2 linked regions of the Struthio camelus genome follow. The protein of the gene in region 2 binds, or shares a complex with, the protein of the main gene of each other region. Links are inferred from orthologs where the notes say so. Each region holds a gene or a part of one and is shown on either strand. Other genes may lie near its edges.

Region 1 (10,457 bases), on a different chromosome or scaffold from region 2:
AAGATTTCCTAACCAGTATCTACCTCTTTAAATCAGTTGTGATTACTACTTTTTTTTCCTTTTGGTCTGCATAGCCAGTCTTATTAAAATGAATAACAGAGATAGTAAAGGGGGCAAGATAAATTACATTAAAAGAGATATCTCATACTATTAAATACCTTATGACACCTCTAAAAATAATTAAGCTAAAATTGAGAATCTAAGTCTTTCAAAAGGTTACTTTAATGACAGTTGCATTCAGGTGTATGATACTTCAAAAATTTGAGATGCTTAAGTTGTAATCCTAACAAAATTCTCCGTTGTTAGCAAGGAACTGATGATTTGTTCCTTCAAAGTGGAGAACGATCTGGCTCTCACTTGTCCTAGTTCCTGTGATTAAAGAAGCATATATGGAGACTTTAAAATAGGTAATTTCATTTCACTTTGCACTCCTGAAGCAGGAGAAACAGTTTTAAGTATAAAACAATGTATATAATTGAAAACACATCTTAGCAGGTATTATCACAATAATTAAAAAATAAAAACTATACTGCTTTTTTTTTTCTGCTGAAAGGAAGAAAGCCTCAACCCTCTTTAAATGTTGCATTTCGGTGACTAAATCACACAAGCGATTTTTAAAACTGACAGTTAAGGTCTAAGGCTCTTTCTGTGTCTTTTCATTCCACTGTCACTATAAATTATGGGAGAGAATAGAAAGCTACTTTGAAAATATTTTTATTTAAGCTTTTTTTCTCAATTACAGTAACATGTAACATGCAAGGTAAGTTCTTAATAGTAAAGCTGGCGTTCTTGAAAACAGCTAGAAGTATTCATGTTTCTGGCCTGCTTCACAAATATTCCCATATTTGTGTCTCATTATTGCATATTATTTAAATAACTCAAATATTTGTAAACAGCTTGCATTTCTTTGGACATCCACTAGCCTGGATTTCCAGTGTAAAATGGTTTTTACCCACTGGATACAGGTTTAGGAATCAAGCAGGGAGGAGGTAAGGACAACGCACCTAAGAGGTTTCAAAAAAACAAAACCACAAAAACCCCACTCAGTACTCATCATCTCTGCCTTGGTACCTGACGCCACAAATACTTAAGCACGTGAGTCCCTTCCTGTGCTTGATTGATCTAATTGAATACACAAGTAATCCAGTGACTCCTGAAGATATTCACATGGTTAAAACTGCTCGCGCATGTGACTGTGACCTGAGTTACTTGAAGTGTCAGGTGCATGTTAGGATTCGTGACTGACCCACACCACTGATTCAGACTTGACTTCTATCTGGTACAAGGATGTATAATTATATCATTTTGCTGTATGTCAGGTTTAAAATCCCTCCCCCAACCCATATTTTTTGTACTTTTACATTTATGATTGCAGGGAAAAAAAAAAACCTACCCAAAATAACATATAAAATATTTGTACTGTAGTTTAAAAACTGTTTTTGAGAATGCTTGCGGTGTGCTGTTCGGCTCTGTTCCATTTAACCAAAAAGAGTAACTTGAAACTATCTTTGGAATGACCTAAGCAGTACCGAAAGGCACAGGTCTCTGCAGCAGTCAGCTGGATATTGCATTGATATGTAGGTGGCAATGACTGTTGAAGAAGGGTATTCAATTCCTAAATAACAATGCTTTAAAGATATTTATCACCTAAAGTAAAAAGCACTTAAATTTAGTTTATAATTCACTCCTAACTGAAAGTATTTTTATGGCAGGTTGTTAGCTGAAAGAAAACGTGATTGCTATCTGCCACGCTCAAGAAGAGTTTTTAAACGCGCAGCTGTGATGCTAAGTATAATGTAGCTAGACACTGCTTTTGATTTAAAATACTAAATATGACAATCAGTTTTTTTAATGAAATCTTGAATGTGCTCTTGTTTTCAAATGCCATATCCATTCATCATGTTTCTCAGTATTTCCTCCTCCCGAAAAACTGCACTGGTAAAATTCAAATGCTGGTAAAGAGTGCAGACTGGGGCAAGCAGTTAATGTGAATTAACTGGTTGTATAGCACAAGAATTAAAATGGTGTAGCTGGGGTTTGGGTTTCTCCCTACCTTTGATAAGAATCTATAGTCTTTTTTTCCACAAATCTGAAAGCTTCAGCTATATTTAAAAGACTAGAGGAAATGCAGCTAGATTTCTTATTTTAAAACCACCGTTTGAATTACTTCAGTAGATTTGATTTTACCTTCTAAAACCAGGTTATTGCAGTTAAAGCTTATTTTTTGAAAGTAAAGTTGGAATACATTTAGCCATTGTTTTCAATGTTACTGATTCAATCCACTTCAGAACTAGCAGTGCTAACTGAGCTTGGATCCCAAGTTTCCTAGGCTTTGCATTTTCATCCACATTTCACATGCTCCCCTGTCAGAATTAATATGCCAACCCTAGACATAGGTGTATGTCAGCATTTTACTGCTGAAGATGCCCAGAGTTTTGTGCAAGAATCACTTTTTTTGAACTACCTCTGGTGTGTACACAGACACACACACACACAGATCCTGTACTGCAGGACCTGTACCTTTAGTAGAGCAGCAAACTAGCCAATTGTCATGATTATCTGCATCATCCTTCAACCACCTATAAATTCATCCTGATCAAGAGCAAACGGAAGACATCCCAGAGGTGCTCTTGTGGATGCAGATGAGGGAAGGGTGATACCTCGGTTTCTGAGCACAAGCATTCCCCATTTTTTCCTTGGAGATATGGGATGAAGTGTGTAAATTCTGGTTTGTTGACAAAGTAAAATGCAACTGAATCTACTGTTGTTAAGTACTGTATTCCCAGCAGGCTTTAGGTCGCTAAACTTATATCCCCCAAAAACAACTTAAAAGATGTCATGAAAACTTCAGGAAATTTAGGCTAATTTAGTATTGCAGAAACACTTTATATGTAGTGACTCGAACAGTAACTGATAAAAGTCATGCAAAGACAAATGATAGTTAACATTTTTATAAAAATGTTCAGATATTTGTGGCTTTTAGTTTGGGCAAAGAAGGTAGCAAATTTGTCCTTTCTGGCAAACATACCTGAAATTTTGTAGATACTCCTCAGTTATCTCTACAGCTCTTTTTCTGGATAGAGGGTTGGGTACCCCCCCCCCCATGTGTTTCTGTCAACTAGGTGTGACCTTCCTCCCTTTGAAGTCCAAGGTGTTTCCTGTTGGGCGTCACAGCACTGGTTGCAAAAAGGCATGTTACAGTTTGTTATTGGCACTTTTATGGAAGAGGGTGCCAGACAGCTGAGAGGTGTTAGGAGGGCCATCGCTAGGCCACTATCACAGGAAAAACGGCACGTGGGCTCACAGAGCTCATTTCAGTCTGCTGCCTGTTACCAGCATTTGTTCACGCAAAGTAATTCTCACACAAAAATCTTTGCGGAGAACCAGTCTCGTCCCTCGTTTGTGCTGGACAAGACAGTCTTGTTAATATGTATTACCCGCTGGGCAGGTCAGTGATGCCCAGGCTTTTAGCTAGGGAGGCTTACAGAGGTACGCCAGGTCCCACGCAGTCTACAGATATGGACGTGCACATAACCAAGATGGAGGAACCTTCACCATGCAACGTACAAGCAAGCGGTCTTCAGTTAAGTGATCAGCGGATGGGCGTCCCGCATCTAGCGACAGGTAAGCCTGCACGTGGTCACAGGGCAGGGAAAGATCTGAAAGAAGGCAGAAAGTAATCAATCTGAATTGTTTTGTGTAGCTGTCCAGATCCTCAGGTTAGTTATCAGATACATTAGACATTCAGCTCTTCCCACCCTGGCAAATATGATGGTGTGATGTGTGCTTGGATTAATTTACTGGCTTCCAAAGAATGCTCATAACATAAGCCACAATCTGAAAGTACTATAAATCCTGCGGAAGTCAGATTTTGTAACTGTCGTGCCTCATTGTTGGCAGCGGAATGAGATTTTCCAGCCTACCTTAACCTTCTGCGCTGATTTTCTTGGCCCTGGCTGCTCCTGATGCAACGCGTGTTCCTGGGGTCTCAGAGTCAATGTGCTGACTCCTTGCCTTCAGCAGATGATAGCAGAGCTAAAATCTTTGCAACCAGGCCTTTAGGTACCCAGCTTTACTCTTACAAACCAGCTACTAACAATCACTTACCACTTCTGACCGATCCAAATACTTTCAGTCCTGACTTAGTATTTGTCCAGAAGTTTGAAAACAATGAGGTTGCCTGGTAAACGTCTGTTTCCAGTTAAAATATAGCCTCACCAGCTCAGATCACAGATGTGGATTTCTGATAACAACCAGGAAGACTAACTCTCAAGGTTACTGTGTTAACGTACACCCAGTGAGCTGTTGCCTTAGTTTCAGCTGACAGTACTTTATATACAGGGGATGACAAATGATTCAGCTAGGTAACCAGTGAATTGAGATTTAACACCAACTGTTCAAAAGATAAAAATGATGACAAGTCACAGTTGGTCTAAACAAAATGCAAGACAATTGAAAAAACAGGGCTGGAGCTTTCCTTTTGGAAGATGGGTTCAGGTGGTAGGCAACCAACCTACCTGATCAAAATTAGTGTTTTCACATTACGAAAACAGAATAGACAGGTCCACCGTCAAAGACTACCATCACCAAAAGTGCTAGGAGCAAAGCATTACTAAGGGGAATGCATGAACAGAGCCAAGGACTAACCAAGATGAGTTCTGTTTCTAGTACAAAAACTTATCACAGGTAAAAATGGCGATATACAAACGTTTCCCAAGCTTACAGCTGGAGCACGTTTTCTGAAACCCTTTAGTATTAGAAATGACTACTATACTATAAGCTGAGGACAGAGTGGTGGTACATTAGTGCAGCCAAGCACAAATGCAACCATTTATATTCCTATCACAGAGTGGATTCTTAAAAGCCTTCTTGCCAAATGCTGCTAAATATTCAATTTGAGGAACCGAGGGCTCAACGTTGTTGATATTGCACTCCGCTTCACTCCTGCAGTGGAGAAGCGAGCGAAAAACCTGGCTGGAGGAAAGTACGATTTCCCATATTTATTTTTCTATTATTTCTGTACCATCTTGTCTGCTGTTTCATCTGGCTCAGCTGTCATCTCAAATTGCCACATTTTGTTCTACGTAATTACCTATGATAAAGACTACAGAATAAAAACGTAACTACGAGCTCCTGCACTTCAGGGCTGGAGAGCTTGTTCTACTGCAGCTGCTGGGGTGGGTAATGCTTAGTAATAGCAGAAGTGTGTTTGTGAGCTGGGTGTATTTTCTTGGCTCTATCGCCTTTCTGCAGACCTGTTTTGAAGAGGGCATCTTTTAGGGCTACCTTTTAAAGGTCAGTATCTTGCTGTTAAAAGCAATTCCTGGGCAAAACGTTTGGACAGTTATCATCTTGCTTACCTTTAAATGATGATGTACGAGTCAGAGGCTGGGTCTGCCTGTACTCTGCAAATGCCAGCTTTGGGGCTCGGAGCGGACAGACCAGAGTACCCACTCTCATCGGAGCCTGCTGAGTCACCTGAAAGTCTTGTTGAGGTAGGGTAACGTCAGGCCAGCCCCGGTACGATGCAAACAGCAGCTGCTTCCTCACTTCCAGATAATGCATTTCTGTAATTGTGACTCTTATGCCACAGGTAGACTTAGCCTCTCTGAGAGGCTTTGCAGACTTTCGCAGACCGCTGCGCTAATTACGAAATGGCACCGGAGAGCAGGGGCCCGGCCCCCGCGAGGAGAAGCGGGTAGGGTAACATGTTTTCATGACTTGGCTTTAGGCACAACGTTATACTGCTCAGCGCTGTTTGCCTCTGCCCAGCCCGGGTCTGCCTCGGGGTGTTTCCCCGGGTGCCGGAGCCACTTGCTTCACCGCAACTTCAGCGGTGCCCGGCGGGTCGGCCCGGGGCTGGGGCCGGGGCCCGGGAAGGCAGGGCGAGCCCGGGGAGCAGCGGGCGCCGGCGGCCCGCGACGCCTCTCCCGTGCCAAGGAAAAGCCCCAGCGCGGCGGCGGCGGCGGCGGCGGCTTCCCCACCTGGGAAAGCCGCCGGGCAGGCCAGGCTGTGCGCTGCTCCCCCCTCTCCCCGCCCGGTCCTCCCCCATCGCATGGCATTAATCCGGAATAGCCATCCCAGCAGCAAATCTCCCGGGCTCGATAATCCCGCTGCAAGCTGTCCCTTCCGCCTCAATTAGGTCAGCCGTAAAATAAATAAATAAATAAATAAATTACATTTCCACCCCCCTTTTTTTTTTTTTTTTTTTTTTTTTTTTTTGCGCGTGCCGGCTGGCACCCCGCGCGGGTCTCCTAGCAATGGGGAGGGCGGGAGGGAAGGAGGGCGGGGAGCGGTAAGGAGCTTACCTCATGGCAGCGGCTGGCTGCCAGGCGGCCCCAGCGGCGGGGCGGCGGCGGCGGCCAGGCGGCAGCAGCGGCACAGCCCGGCCATGGCGCGGAGCCGCCCGGCCTACGAGTACACGGAGGCGGAGGACAAGAGCATGCGGCTGGGCTTCCTGCTCATCGCCGCCGGCCTCCTGTCGCTGCTGGTGTTGGGTTTCTGCTGGCTGCGCCCGGCGCTGCAGGAGCGGCGCGCCGGCGGCGCCGCCAACTGCACGGTGCTGGCGGTGCGGCAGCTGGGCGAGCGCTTCGCCTGCACCTTCTCGTGCGGCGCCGCCTGCCGCGGCACGGCCCGCTACCCCTGCCTCCAGGTGCTGGTGCGCACCTCGCGCTCCGCCGCCCCCGCCCTGCTCCACGAGGACGAGCGGCAGCTCCGCACCAACCCCAAGGTGAGCCCCGCGCCCGCGCCCCTGGGGAAAACCCGCCCGGGGCACGGATGGCTCGGGCGCGGCGCTTCCCGCAGCAGCCTGCTTCCCCCCCCCCCCCCCCCAAGAATAAAAAACACGCGGAAAATCCTCGTTTAAGCAAACGGGATGGCAGCCGCCGCTCGTGGTTGTGCGCTCGGGTCCGCGGTGTGTGTGTGTGGGGGGGGGGGCGTTTAAGCAAAAGTTTCCTCAGCGCTAGTTTTTTCCCCCCGTTCTTTCTTTCCTAAATTTCTGCGTTGCCCGCGTGAGAACAGTCTGGGCAAAAGTGCCTTTAAGTCTGAAGTTGCATCTCCTAGTAAAGCTGGGTAGTATGATGACAGCGTACTTTTTCTTTTTTCCCCTAAGTGGGAGTTATTTAATTTTCTGTTCTCCTTTTTCTTTTAATGCTGAGTAAACGTCATCTTTCTGGCACTCTAACTGAGCGGAGGAGATTTGGTTAAGTCGTTTTCTGAAGAACAAAAAAAGGAGCAGGATCCTCCCTCCCCCCACCCCCCGCCAAAACCCCCAAGATTGGGAGCATGTTGGAGAAGAGTTTGGGAGCGTTGATAGAAACGTCGATGCGATGCGACAGGTCATGCTGAGCGCAGGACAGGGGTCCTCCGCATGCAGAAGTCCAGGAGCAGCCTGGTGCTTTCGGGGGGGTTGTGCAGCCTTTGGAGGTGGTATGTCTTCCTGGCTGGTCCCCCATATTGGAGGCAGCAGTCGAATGAAACAAGTTGAGGTTTCAGTCTCACCCCTTCTTTTTTCCTCACCTCACCCAGACATAAGGTAGAGGAAAAGAACGTCGCCGCAGCTGTGTTGGTACCAGTTTGGATCTGTCTCTTGGAAGACAGGTGAAGTTGTAACCTTAGGGTTTGGGGTGTTGCTTTTTTTCCCCTTGAGGCTCGTTGGCATGCAAGGGTTGTCGGGGCAAAAATCAGCAGAGAGGAAAGCAGAGTGATAAAACCTGGCACAATTTGCGTGAAAGCGCTGGGACTGCTCAGAGGAGCCAAGCGTCGAGGGGGCTGGGCTGGACCGTGCCCGACAGCGAAGCGGGTGCAACGTCGGCCTGCGAGGGAGCTGGGCGAAGCGGGCGCTTGGCCCTCAGGTGCTGCCGCCGTGTTCGGGAGGGCAGTCAGTGACCTGCAGGGAAAAAGCTGCCCTTTTGACTTGGGGAGAAGACGCCCTGGCACCCCGGCCAGGCCATCCTGAGCGCGTCCGGCCCACAGCATTTCGGCTCTCTGCTGCGGGCATGAACCACATCGCCAGCAAGCCCAGGCTCATCAGCCCTTCCAGTATCCGCAGTTTCAGCAGAGGCTTTCATACTGGGGCTCCGACTGTAGCATCTGCCAAGTGATCTCTCTAAGGAGTTTGAGGGATATTTTTTTTTTTCTGTTTTTTTTTTTTTTTGAACTTTTTAGTCCTGTCTTCTCCTGGCTCCCGGGAAGGCTGGCGCCAGGGCAGACTAGGGTTGCACCTGCTTGAATTTTGCTGGCAGGCACTGAGCGCTTCGGGAGGGATGCCTGTCTGTGTAGTTCAGAAACCGGTATTTATTTAACAGCTAATAAACAAACAACACAGGTCTGCACGTTGGCAGCGTGTTGTGCTTGCATGCTTTTACAAATATAATCCATTTATCTCTAGCTCGAGTATCGCACCTTTAAATGTGGGTTGTTTACTGTAGGATATTGATTGCTGATGACTGAATCTAGTTTTCTAGATGAGACTGAGTAGAAAGGACCTATTTTTTGATGTAACTACATTCTGTGGTACTAACTGAATTAAACTAAGTGGAAAAGAACATAGAAAGAAATGTGCTCCACATATTTTCCTTACCTTAAGGAGCTTTTATGCAAAACCAATGCAAAATAAAACTAAAAGTCATTTTGTTCTCATTGGGAAAACATATCCTTTTAGAGGAAGTGATGTATAGCTGTTGCTTTAGCGTAGGGTTTTTTTTCTTCCTAGTTTAACGTCTGTGTAGCTGAGCAGTTATATTCTTCTTTTTATTTTTGTCCTAAAGTCTTACTGCCTTTAAGAGCTTTCTGGATTTTACACTGAAATAGATGAATTATAGCAACAGATTAGGAATCTGGTGGATGTCATTATCTGGAGCCAGTATGGACGGATTTGTGAATGAATACTTAAGGAGCCTTGTTAACCCTCCTGTTTCTATCCTCTCCTCATAGCCCACCTGCTTGTATTAACGTAATTCGGCATACTGCGCACTAGCCAATTCCAGCTAACTCGAAGGGGGAGAAAAAGAGCGATTTGTTTTTGAACGGTCTTGGAATCGTACGTTCTGTATAACAGCTTTACGGGGTGGCTATTCGTCCTGGTAAATCAGCAGTGTGAGGAACGCGTGTTTTGGGCTCGTTACACCATACAACCATACTAAATTGGTTGGCAGCTTCACTCCACCAAGAGGATCCCCAGTGTGTCGGACTGAAAACAGTCTGCTCTCTGTAGCAGAGTGGGCTTGTGTATGAAGGTATCTGCAGCTACGGATCGGTCTACGCTACTGAGGTCTATCTGTAGGACGCTTTTTTTTTTTCTTCTGTTCCTTCCTAAGATAATCACATCATTGTACAGCCCTGGATTCATTTTAGCTCTTAAAAGATTATATAGCTGGGGCAGAATTAATCCAGAAAAGTAAGTACGAAGCACCGTGCACAATTACATTTGTGTACGGTCTGTGCGATATGTGGATTTCTTTTTGCTTTTCGTTGTTGTCTCCGAGGAAGAAATTTCAGTAAATAGAGCGATGGTAGCCTTTCTTCAGCTGCTTTGATAGCAATAGTAATCTCTGAGATAAGGTTTAAGGGGGATTAATTCCAAAGTCAATTTGTCAGGCTCGCCTGGCCACGCAGTGAGTTGATAACAAACACAGCACAGGGGGCTGGAATATAGGTTTAGTTGAGTAACATTACTGTGGCATGTATCAGCTGCTAATAATATCTGCCTTCTTGCTTTTAGGCTTTTCCCTTTCTGTGCTTGAAGTTGAGCATAGTGCCAGAAAAACTTGCCCAAGACTTAGCTGGGAAAACTTCTACATGAACGTAAAAGTGTAGTTGTAGAAGTGTAGTTACGTCGGACGTCACCACGTGTGTGGTGCGACTCACTTCTTTGCAGCCCCGGGGCTGGCAGGGGAATAGCAGAGGAAAGAGGTGAAGTCGCGTCCCGGCCGTCGAACGGGCAGACGGAGCAGCTCAGGAGCCCTTGGACCAGCTCACTAATTATGCTGCCAGCGTGCGCAGTCCTCCAAAGCGGGGTTGGTTTCGAATGGATGAGCTGAACCCGGGGCCCCAGTTGGGGTGGAGGGAAGGCACGTCCCCAGCCCAAGCCCGGGGCGGGACGACGTGGAAGTGCACAGCGATCGTGTGCTGTGATACGGGGCCGGAAGGGTCCCGCCGTGGGCGTGAAGGTTGTGCAGATCGAATGTTTCAACAGGAAATTCCAGAGTTTAAAAAAATGGCCTCTGCAAATCTAATTCATTCAGCCCTGTTTGTGTCCTTAAATGCCTAATTACATGATGGCAACCATTTTTTGTGGCTTTTCTCCCTGCCCTCCAGAAATCCTGCTGCACAGAGGGCAGAGGGCGGGCTGCAGAGCAGCTAGCAAGCGCTTGTTCCTGTATGCTGCGTCAGCTCGCGGTCCCATGTCACGTTACCCATTTTTCAGATGCCACACCAAATTGCTGATTCCTCCATGA
Region 2 (9,785 bases):
GTGATGAAACTGATTTTATTTGTATTTGCAAAGTGCTTTGATAAAAAGTGTTATAGACTCTAGTTTATTATCATGCTAAATATGTCCTTCAGCCTTTGAACATGGATTGGATATATGCAAAATATGGTAAACAAGTTTTTCATTTAATATGAACTGAAGTAGTTTGACTAAATTCTCTGGAAGAAACAAAAGCTACAGACAATTATTTGTTATATGCAAATATATATATATAGATATAGATATAGATATATAGTTATATACAGACATGATAATTTTATATACACTCTACTATCACCCCTTGCATAACTGAGTATTTCCACTATAGTGTCTTTAGGATAAGGACAGCAGATCCAGCCTTATGTGTGTTTTACATCAGCAAGGCATCTTCATCAGTGTCTCACAGAGCAAACATTTTGCATTCAGAAAAAAAATCTCTCAGACTTCTTTAAAGACAAATTTTTGTTCCTATAGCTGTCTAGTCACTGGAAATGTGTTATTTTTTGCCCTTCTCGCAGTACAAACTAGGAAAGGTAAGCATGGAGGAAAGAAATAGCATTAAAAGCCAGGCTCAGATTTAATTGTGCAAGATGTGATAATATGAAAGTCTAGTTCATTTTGTGCCCGCATCATTTAAAGTCAAGACCAAATGCCCCACTGACCTCAGTAGATCTAGCCAATTAACTAGTAAATAACTTTTATTATTATTTAATCGTACTTCTGTGTATAAGGTCTTTCTCTGCCACAGCTACTTAAATTCTCTAAAAGCCAATAGCATGTCCCATTGTGACAACAAAAACGTAAAGAGGGAGAGTGTTGGTTACAAATAGTAATTATTTATGATGGTTAAACTATCACATAGGATAACAAAAGCGCATTCTATATGGGATTATTCAGGCAGCAACCAGAAGTCTGGTGTTGGAGAGAATAAATACATACCTATTGTTGGAATGTTGACATTTTTCCTTGGAAAAGTATTTGTCTTTAAGCCCTACCTTAAGTTGCTTGTTCAACATTTATTCTTTACCGTTATCAAATGGGAAGGTTTTAAATACAACCATTAAACTAACAAGTTGTGGCAGCCAAGTTTATGGTATATTTGAGTCTTACAGATACTTTCAGCATATGTTTACTTCCCTCAAGATAATAACATGCAGTGATTTTCCATCATTTCCCCAAACTCAGTTAGACCAGATGTCTATTGGTAAAACTGGGATGTTCCACATTTTTTCTCTCACATTTCATTTTTTAAGGAAAAACTACTATTTGCATAATGTAATTAATGCTTAGGAAATATATATCTTACACTGTTGCTCCATTCATGGGATTTTTCTAAAGCATCAGGCCAAATTAATCCTTGGTACAATATTGTGTTGGCACAATTAGTTTGGACTCCTTAATTTAATTGAAAAATGTATTCTTCTAAGGAGTTTCTCTGTCCACTCCACTTTAGCACAGAGTTCAGGGACAGTGGGAAATCCTTATAGTTTTAGCCATTATTATCTCCTTTCTTTATATAGTATATGGTTTCTTTCTTTTAATCATTGTTTTCTTCCTGGAATATGAAGAAGTTTTTCCTTGTGTAAGTAAAATAAAACCACCCTGGTTTACACTTGACTCATACAGGTACAGTTATGCAACCGTTCTTTAGCTTTTCTGGTTTTATTGCACTTAATTAAAAAGAAATGCTATTGATGCTGAGTAGTTTTACAGCTAAATTATACCTGATTAAATACAATAGTTCATTCTCCCCTACTTGCACTTTCAGTAACTAAAAGCAAGATTGTCCTGCGTGCTGGAGTGGAGGGTTTTTTTTAATTGCCAAGGTCCAGGTTTGATGAATATTTTAAATACTTTCTGTCTGTGACACTGTACACAGAATATCCACAAGAGGGAACTGTTTTACATAAAGAGGAGTTATTTCCTTGCTGTTAAAATACTGCTTTCTGGAACCAAACCATCCAGCTTTATGTCAGGCTGGCATGATTGCAAATCACCACGCTATGTTATTTGGTACCAACAGGAAAAATGCAGGTAAAAACATTGTTCATTATGTTTTGTAAATATTATTCAGCTAAATAAGTTCATTTTGAGCTTTTGTGTTGAAATATTAAATAGAACAACTAATCTTTGTTTTTTGTGTTTACTCGGAATATATTGCTCTGGGAAATGTAGCTGGAACACCTTGTTGCTCCGAAAGCTGCATGGTAGCTGCATGAAAGCTGCATGAAAGCTGCATGCTGTGCATCGCTATGCACCTGCCTTTGCCTCACTTCGGTTGTTTGCTGATGGATAAAAGGATCCTCACGTAGATGCAACACCTGCCTGAGGGGTGCTCCCCCAACCCCAGCCCCGAAACCAACAGCGACCACGGGGCAGTGCCAGGCTGGTGGCCCCGTGTGTTGCCCAGGCAGGGGTCTTGCCCAGCCACAGGCTGTCCCCAGGTGGTGGCCCGCTGCAGGGAGGCTAGGAGCTGTGGCACCATGGGCTGGCGCTTCAGGTGGCACCTCTCACAGGCAGCTTCGTTTCAGCCTGACTCGTTTTCTGCATCTAGAAATCCTCCACTTAATTCCCCTCTTGCGGTAGCCTCCTGGGAACTGGTTCATTCGGGGCATTGTGTAACGGACTATCAGCTTTCCTCTGGGATACAGTAACGTCGTGTTTTCTCACTTGAGAATACCTCTACCCTATTGTCTGATGCTGTCTCTCCTCAGAGGCCTCTGCTAATCGGTTCTTGAAAAGGAAGCCCTCTCCTGACGGGCTAGACTGGAGGGAGACACCAGGACAAACTCACAAAGTTAGACAAATGTCATTGCACAAGAGCTGGAGGTGAGAGGGTTAGGGAGTCCTGTAAAAACCTTAGAGGACTCATAAAATCTCATTTCCAACTCTCAAGTGGAAAACCAAAAATAAACAAACCCAGGACTGATGCAGAAGCATGAAGTAGTGTTCCTAAAGGTTAAGAAATTGCTCTTTCATAATGGTGGCTCTGTGAATGAGTAGTGACTAGATCAGATGGGGAAGTGTAATGCACACACAGGCTGTGGTATTTTACCCTTGGAAAGATGACAAGAGGATCCACATAATAGCCTGTGCAGACAACAGGGTTAGCAGAGCATGTGCCAAATCAAGATTAATGTGTGCGTGTACATATGTATGTATGTATATTCTCTGTTTCAACCGGAATCTAGAAAAAGCAGGAGATGACTATTCAGATTTTTTTGCTGGATTTCCCCCCACCTTCGGCGTATCGTTTTTGAAAAAAAGCAGGAAACAACTATGCAGATTTTCTCACTGGATCCCCCCCTCCCCCCCGCCCCGGGCGTGTCATTTAAAATTGCTATTTATATTTCCAAGGGTCAGTTTCGGGAACGCGCTGGGGATGCTCAACAATTTACAGCGTGTTGGTGGGGCATTTGCAGTATTTCCCCTTGTCAGCTTGAAGCAGGCAACTCTCGGCGGACGGAGGCACGCCATGGCGCCCCGATATTTATTTCACTCTCCCTCGCCGCGCTTCAAACCCAGCAACCCCCTCCGCATCCCCGGCACCTGCTGCTGCAACTCAACCGCCCGCGGCGAGAGCCGAGCGCCCGCCCCGCCCCGAGCCCGGGCGCCCCGAGCGGTCCCCGGCCCGGCGGAGCCGCCGGCCATGTCGCGCCGTGCGCCCTGTGCCGGCGAGGGCGGCGGGGGCCACACACCCGCTAACGGCTGTAACCGCCGGCGCGGGGGGTGGGGGGGGGCGCCGCGCCCCGTGACAGGCGCCGTGCGTTAGCCGCTGCGTCATGACATCCGCCAAACCAGCCCCTCGCGCGGCCGCGCCAGGGGGCCGCGCCCGCCCCCGCCCAGCGCGGCTGCGGAGACCGGTGCGCCGCGGCGGCGGCGGCAGCGATGGGGCCGTCTGCCCACCGGCGACTTGTTGGACTGGCAGCTCGGCGCCGCAGCCCGGCCCCGCCTCGCCGCTACCTGTGAAGCGCCCGGGCCCCTCGCCGCCCTCCGCCCGCTGGCCCGCGCGCCCGCTGGCCGGTGCCTCGGCGGCCCGCAGAGCGGGGCCCCGCGGCCGCGGGGCGGGAGCGCGGCGCCGCCGCTCGGCTGTCGGCATGGGGGGCCGGGAGCCCGCCTGAGGCGGCGCGGCCCCGGCGGCAGCGCGGCGTCCCGCGCCGCCCCGGCCCCTCCGCGCGGGGGCCCCCGGCCCCCGGGAGCGGGGCCGTCGCCGGCGCGTCCCCCCGACGGCAGATAGGGGCGGGGAGCCGGTGGCCGCGGTGCCTCTGCGCGCGTAGGAGCAACAGCCCGGAGAGAGAGCCGCGGCCCGGAGCGAGCGCCCGGAGGATGCGGGAGGCGGCGGCAGCACGCGCACGGATGGGCCGGCGGAGGATGAATTAGGAGCCGCAGGAGGCTGCTGCCAGCGCCGAGGGGGGGAAGAGGAGAGGAAGGGGCTGGACTTGGAAGAGGAGGAGGAGGAGGAGGAGGAGGGCGCGCGGGGGGGACCGAGTGTCGCTAATAACAAGTTAAAGACTAATAACAATAATAACAGACCACCTCCAGGAAGATCCGCGGCGGAGGCTGAGAGATCCCCGCTGAGGCCAGCGGGGTTGCAGCGCTGGGTATCTTAGAGAGAAGCTCCGAGGCATCGGCTTGTGGTGGTGGTGCTGGATGATTTTTTCTGGGGGGTGGGCGGGGTGGGCGCTGTGTATGCGGGAGGAGGAAGGGGTGGGAATTTGAGGAGGAGACTACCCTCTGATTATTATTTTTATTTTTAATTTTAAATCGTTATTATTTTCGCCGTGCAAGGAGGACGCTCGGAATTCACCGGCTTGTCGGCTCCCGAGAGGGACCCGGGGATTGTGCCGTCGCCTCTTCCCCCCCCCCCCCCCCTTTGGTTGGTTTGCTTGTTTGCTTGTTTTGATTTGGGCTTTTTTTCATTATTATTATTATTTTCCCTTTTCCGCTGAGCGGCGGCGGCGGCGGCAGCAGCAATATGGCTGGTGATGGGTTTTTTGGGGGGCGCTGGCGGCGGGAGGAGCTCTCGGAAGCCCCTGCGCGCCCGGCTCGCTGTTAGCTATGGCAAATGGCAGCGGCGGCGGCGGCGGCGGCGGCGGCTTTAGAATGAGTAACAATATCAACGCGAACAATCTCAACACAGACTCGGCCTCTTCCCCCGTCAATGTGCCCAAGATGGATGCGCTCATCATCCCGGTGACCATGGAGGTGCCCTGCGATAGCCGCGGACAGCGCATGTGGTGGGCTTTCCTTGCCTCGTCCATGGTCACTTTCTTTGGGGGACTGTTTATCATCCTGCTGTGGAGGACCCTCAAGTACCTGTGGACTGTCTGCTGCCACTGCGGGGTCAAAAACAAGGTAACCTCCCGCCCCCGCCCCATCCCCTTCGGGTGCAGCGGTGGCTCAGTGCGGTGGCAAGGGGGTGCCCAGCCACCTAGGTCAGGGCACCTTGAAGAGGTGGCACTGGAGGAGATGCAGGGTGGCTGTTGCGTGGTGGCTGTGTGCTGGCTTTCAGGTGGTCTCGGCACTGTGCTGGGGGCAGCATGGCAGGAGGGGTGCCGGGGCCCTCCGAGTGCCCCCCGCCTCCCGTTCTGCCATCACCTCGCTCAGAAGCTCTTCAGTGTCGGGGGCCAGGAAAGTTGTGCTTGCTCTCCGCCCGCCAGCTCCGCGAGGTGCATGCTGACACGCTGGGACAGTGCGGTTCAGAAGTTGCTACGCACCCCCAGGAGACCATGTATGATGGGGAAGAGTATTGGGAAGGGTGTTTATTTGCTGGACAAAGCTGTCAGTTCTCCTAGGAAATGACAAACTTTGGCAAAATCAGAGAAGTAAACTTCTCAACTGAGTAAATCTTTTAAAAGCTAGTTTCGCTCCCTTAGACTTGCATTTGCTGAATTTGTAAGTAACATACTAGATCAATGTTCTTCTAAGTGCAAAATCTTTGCGATAACTTCTGTGCCCCTTAGTTTTTTGCATATTACCTCTGGAAGGAAGCATAATACATGAAGCAAGGTAGGCTCCTGGTTTGAAAGGTCTCCTTCAAACCAAAGCTAAGAACTTGGTCAGGTCCAGACTCTTATTTCTGCTCAAGACGAATGGGATAGAAAGTGTTAAGACGCTGTATTTGAGAAAGTGGGTTTAGACAGGCAATTTTAAGACCCCAAAATAGACCAGCAGCTGGAGTTTCTCCCCTTCCCTTTTCGCATTTTTTGGATTACAAATGGAATAATATCTGCTTCAGTTATTCCTGGCACACAGACGCCCGCAAAAACACACACACCTTTTAATATATGGTTGCTAGGTTGCTGGCTTGCTTTGACGTACAGTGAGCTGTCTTCCCCTTTCTCCTATCCCCTCCCCCTAAACACACTTGACATAGCATAACCCAGCTGTACAAAGGAACTAACACTTACGGGAAACCAGAAAAAAGTTACAGAGTTTGAGAAGTTTGGGTACTTTTCTTTCCTTGTGTTAGCTAAGTATCAAATTAGGATTACCTGTATGTTACACAAGAACCTATCTGTTAAAATTGGAAGCAGAACAGTTGTAAAAAACTTGTCATATCTGTGGAAGAAATGATTGTTAGCAATACAGAATAAATAGAAACTTTCAACTCAACTTTTAAGTTTCAGGAAACATACTAGGCAATATCTCTTCTGTAGAGACATTATTTATTTCATTCAAAACCAAAACCAAATCTGAACTTTGTCTCAGAGACATATTAGCTAGCTATGATGGTAAAGCTAAAAAAGAATTTGTGATAGTAAATAAGTTTTGTAAAATACTGTTTCCTATCATAGTAAAAGGAAATCCGTAAGAAAGGAAGGGGTAGCTATGATTTGTCTTCAGTTTCTTCTGTGTATATTTAGCATTTTCCTCTCCTTGTGATGAGACAAATCTGCAAGGACTATAAGAGGTCCCAAAGAAGAAGGAAATCCTAGAGGCTATCACCTGCTACTTTGCTTGAGAGAATAAAAATTGGAGTTAGCTGCTTCTGCACAGACTTCCTATGCATAGTGTCTTCATGGATATCTGCAGTCTGATAGTCCATTCATGAGAAATAGTCAGTAAAGCAGATCATCCATCTCTTAAACAGTATAGAAAGGCATATCCAAGTTGTCTTTAAAACATCTCAGACAGGCTAAATGTATCAGTTAGCTAAATAACAGCTGTCATCAAGGGGTCCCAGCACTTGCAGTTTGAATGATTTGACAGAGTACAGTTATGTCAGACCGTAAGATTTATTTCATGTTTGGTACCTAAAGTAGCTACATCCAGGAATATCATTCCCAGGGGCAGGAGAATGGAGGACTCTGCAGGTAGGGGGAGATATATGTCACTTTTTAGATTGTCTATTGCACTGGTAAGGTTGTCAAGCCTTTAGTGAAGAGTAACTTCCAAGGCCTGATTCTTTCACACTAAAATGGGGAATCAGGGCGAGTTGTGTATGTGTAATGAGTAAGTAGTTTTTGCAGAACACTTTTCTAATAGTTAGGGTTTACAGGCTAACTGAAGTAAAAACTGGTAATGCCTTAAACTTTGCTATTACCAAACACATCCTTTGTGCTGCTTGACAACTTGGGAAGGGTTGCCAAGGCTGCAGGTGAAAAATGTGAACGAGCAGTTGTGCTATGTCTACTATATTGGAGCTCGCAGCAAAAGTAACTTTACAATAAGTAGTTCCTCCTGCTATGGAACTGAAGAAGCTTTTTGCATGTTAGGACCTTTTCTTCCCTTTCTCCCGCTCCACAGGTTGTATTAGTGCTGGGTAATAGTGCTGTAGTGCTGTCATAGTGCTCTCATCATCTGCTTAAAGAGTGCTCCCAGCGAGTGAGCTAAAAGAACTCTCTCATGTCTGCTTTCTGTGGTTTCTTACTAAATAATTTGCATGTATACTAAGAGTCACAGGGCACAGGGTTACTGTTCACAGCCGTGTTCATATATGTTATTACAATGAGCGGAAAAAAAAATATTTCATTTTTTCCCTGCTATATTCTTAGCAGAAAACTGTGTTCCTCAGGCTAGTAGGTGATTGTCAACTTTATTTTATGGATGTAGCCCTTTTAATGGCTGCACAGAAGGATTCAGAATGCTTTTTTCTCTTTAACTTACTGAGTTTAAGGTTGGTTTTTGAATTTTTAAAACCTGTTATGAACACTCTGTTTAACACTTTGTGGTATGAAATTCCATTATAGTATTTCGTTTTTCTTGGAGATGTGTACTGAAAGTCAAAAGAGTATGAAAACTTCTGATAACAGAATGATAACATTGCTTCTTAAAATTCCAGATCCAATTTATGCCATTGTATACTAATAGCACATTAATATTAATCATGGACAAAAAAAAATTGCTGAAGTTACAGGATGTTTTATGCTCCATGCTTGCTTTGTGAGATGGTGTTTTTTAAAATCTGCCAGAAAGAAAAATGTAAAATTTGACCTATGTCAGTGTTTCATGTAATATGAGGGTGTTTACAATTGAAGCTTGTATTTTTTCTTTATCTAATGTGGTATATACTTTAAGATTTGATTTTTGCAAAATTAACTACAGTCATTTTGTAGAGACTTAAAAATGCTCTTTGTTTCTCAGTGTTTGCATCTGCATTTTAAGAAATGCTTAGGTTTTGTTAAAGAAATTGTCTTCAGTTTGCTTCCCCCCCCCCAACTCATTCCTAACTTTATATATTAAAAGTATAAAGTGAGATTGATATTAGATGGGCTAGACGCTGACACCATTAGTTGCTGTTGTTTATGGGAATAACAGAAAAAGAAAATAAATATGTAACATTAAGTACAGTTACCCCAGTGGCTAAATACATATTACAAAATCTGTAATTCTTTTGATTATATGGATCTGCTACTCCATTTTCCATGTTCCTGAAGGGCATTTTCTACAGACGTTACGTAATACTATGTTTTGGCTTTGAATAAGCTCTTAAACAAGGAAAAGGTGTAGTGGAATGAGAAAGCACAAGTTTGGAGCACAACAGGCTCCTGAAGCCAGCCAGGTTCAGAACGCAGTGAAACTTACACACCCCTTTGAAGAGTGGACCCTGTGTCACTGCTCCTTGGTTCCCCAGAGACCAGAACTCATTTTTCACCTTATACCGTCAAGAGTCCAGCAGGTACAAGGTATCTTTATCACTGTGCTCATGTTGGAGCATTTTCAGTTTGCTGAAGACTTCTTTTCCTGCAACCCACTACTCTATGAAATGAAACTCAGTTACGATTATAGGTGGCAATCACTTGCCTCAAGTGACTCGCCACAGTAGTCTTCTTTGATATTAGATTGCATATTTCAGAAGTTTAATAAATTATACAGTGCTAGAAACGATCAGTTTCTGTCAACATTCCTGTTTATTTTGAATATAAAAACTGAAATTTCAGTGGAAGTAAAATATTGGTAGATATTTCCTTTGAGAAGTTAAGAATTTTCATCCAGGCCTAAGAAGCCTGGGAAAGTTTGTAAGGGGAGAAACGGCAGTTTTCTGTAGGGGAAGAAATGTTTCTACCAAACTGGCTCTCAAATAACCAGCTTTATTGGAATTCCTAGCAATACCTGTGGAAATCTCCTCTCCTAATAAAATTAAAGAAAAAAACCCAATTAAGGAGACAAACCCAAAACAAGGCACTGTGTATTCTCATAACTTCAGAGAAGTATAAGAGTACATTTGGGGGCACATATGGACATATAACATAGGAGGTACCTGTATTTTAATCTGTGTGTAGCAATCTCACTTAGACTCTCTCTAAGATGTACTGAACAGAAGCATAGGAACAACTGGAAGGCTC

Evidence for each region. Proteins that work in one complex are often made in the same cells at the same time.
Region 1: the proteins of KCNMA1 (region 2) and KCNMB4 are in contact, whole or in part, in a cryo-EM structure (PDB 6V22), measured with the Homo sapiens proteins. The link is inferred for Struthio camelus from reciprocal best matches to the Homo sapiens genes KCNMA1 and KCNMB4. Residues at the interface, in NP_001154824.1 of Homo sapiens: Phe98, Phe99, Leu102, Phe103, Leu106, Leu107, Arg109, Thr110, Tyr113, Leu114, Thr116, Val117, Asp238, Leu240, Trp241, Leu244, Pro327, Trp328, Asn330, Gln332, Leu367; in NP_055320.4 of Homo sapiens: Thr11, Glu12, Ala13, Glu14, Lys16, Ser17, Leu20, Leu24, Ile34, Phe35, Cys38, Trp39, His105, Thr164, His165, Val183, Leu186, Ile187, Leu190, Thr191, Ala194, Leu197, Ala198, Lys200, Ala201, Met204.

The regions. Positions count from the first base shown.
Region 1 is NC_090942.1:41,115,929-41,126,385, forward strand, and holds the start of KCNMB4 (calcium-activated potassium channel subunit beta-4), read left to right. Parts: upstream 1-6,337; 5' UTR 6,338-6,391; coding exon 6,392-6,730; intron 6,731-10,457. UniProt on the Homo sapiens protein: Regulatory subunit of the calcium activated potassium KCNMA1 (maxiK) channel. Modulates the calcium sensitivity and gating kinetics of KCNMA1, thereby contributing to KCNMA1 channel diversity.
Region 2 is NC_090948.1:27,733,648-27,743,432, reverse strand, and holds the start of KCNMA1 (calcium-activated potassium channel subunit alpha-1), read left to right. Parts: upstream 1-4,879; 5' UTR 4,880-5,055; coding exon 5,056-5,352; intron 5,353-9,785. UniProt on the Homo sapiens protein: Potassium channel activated by both membrane depolarization or increase in cytosolic Ca(2+) that mediates export of K(+). It is also activated by the concentration of cytosolic Mg(2+).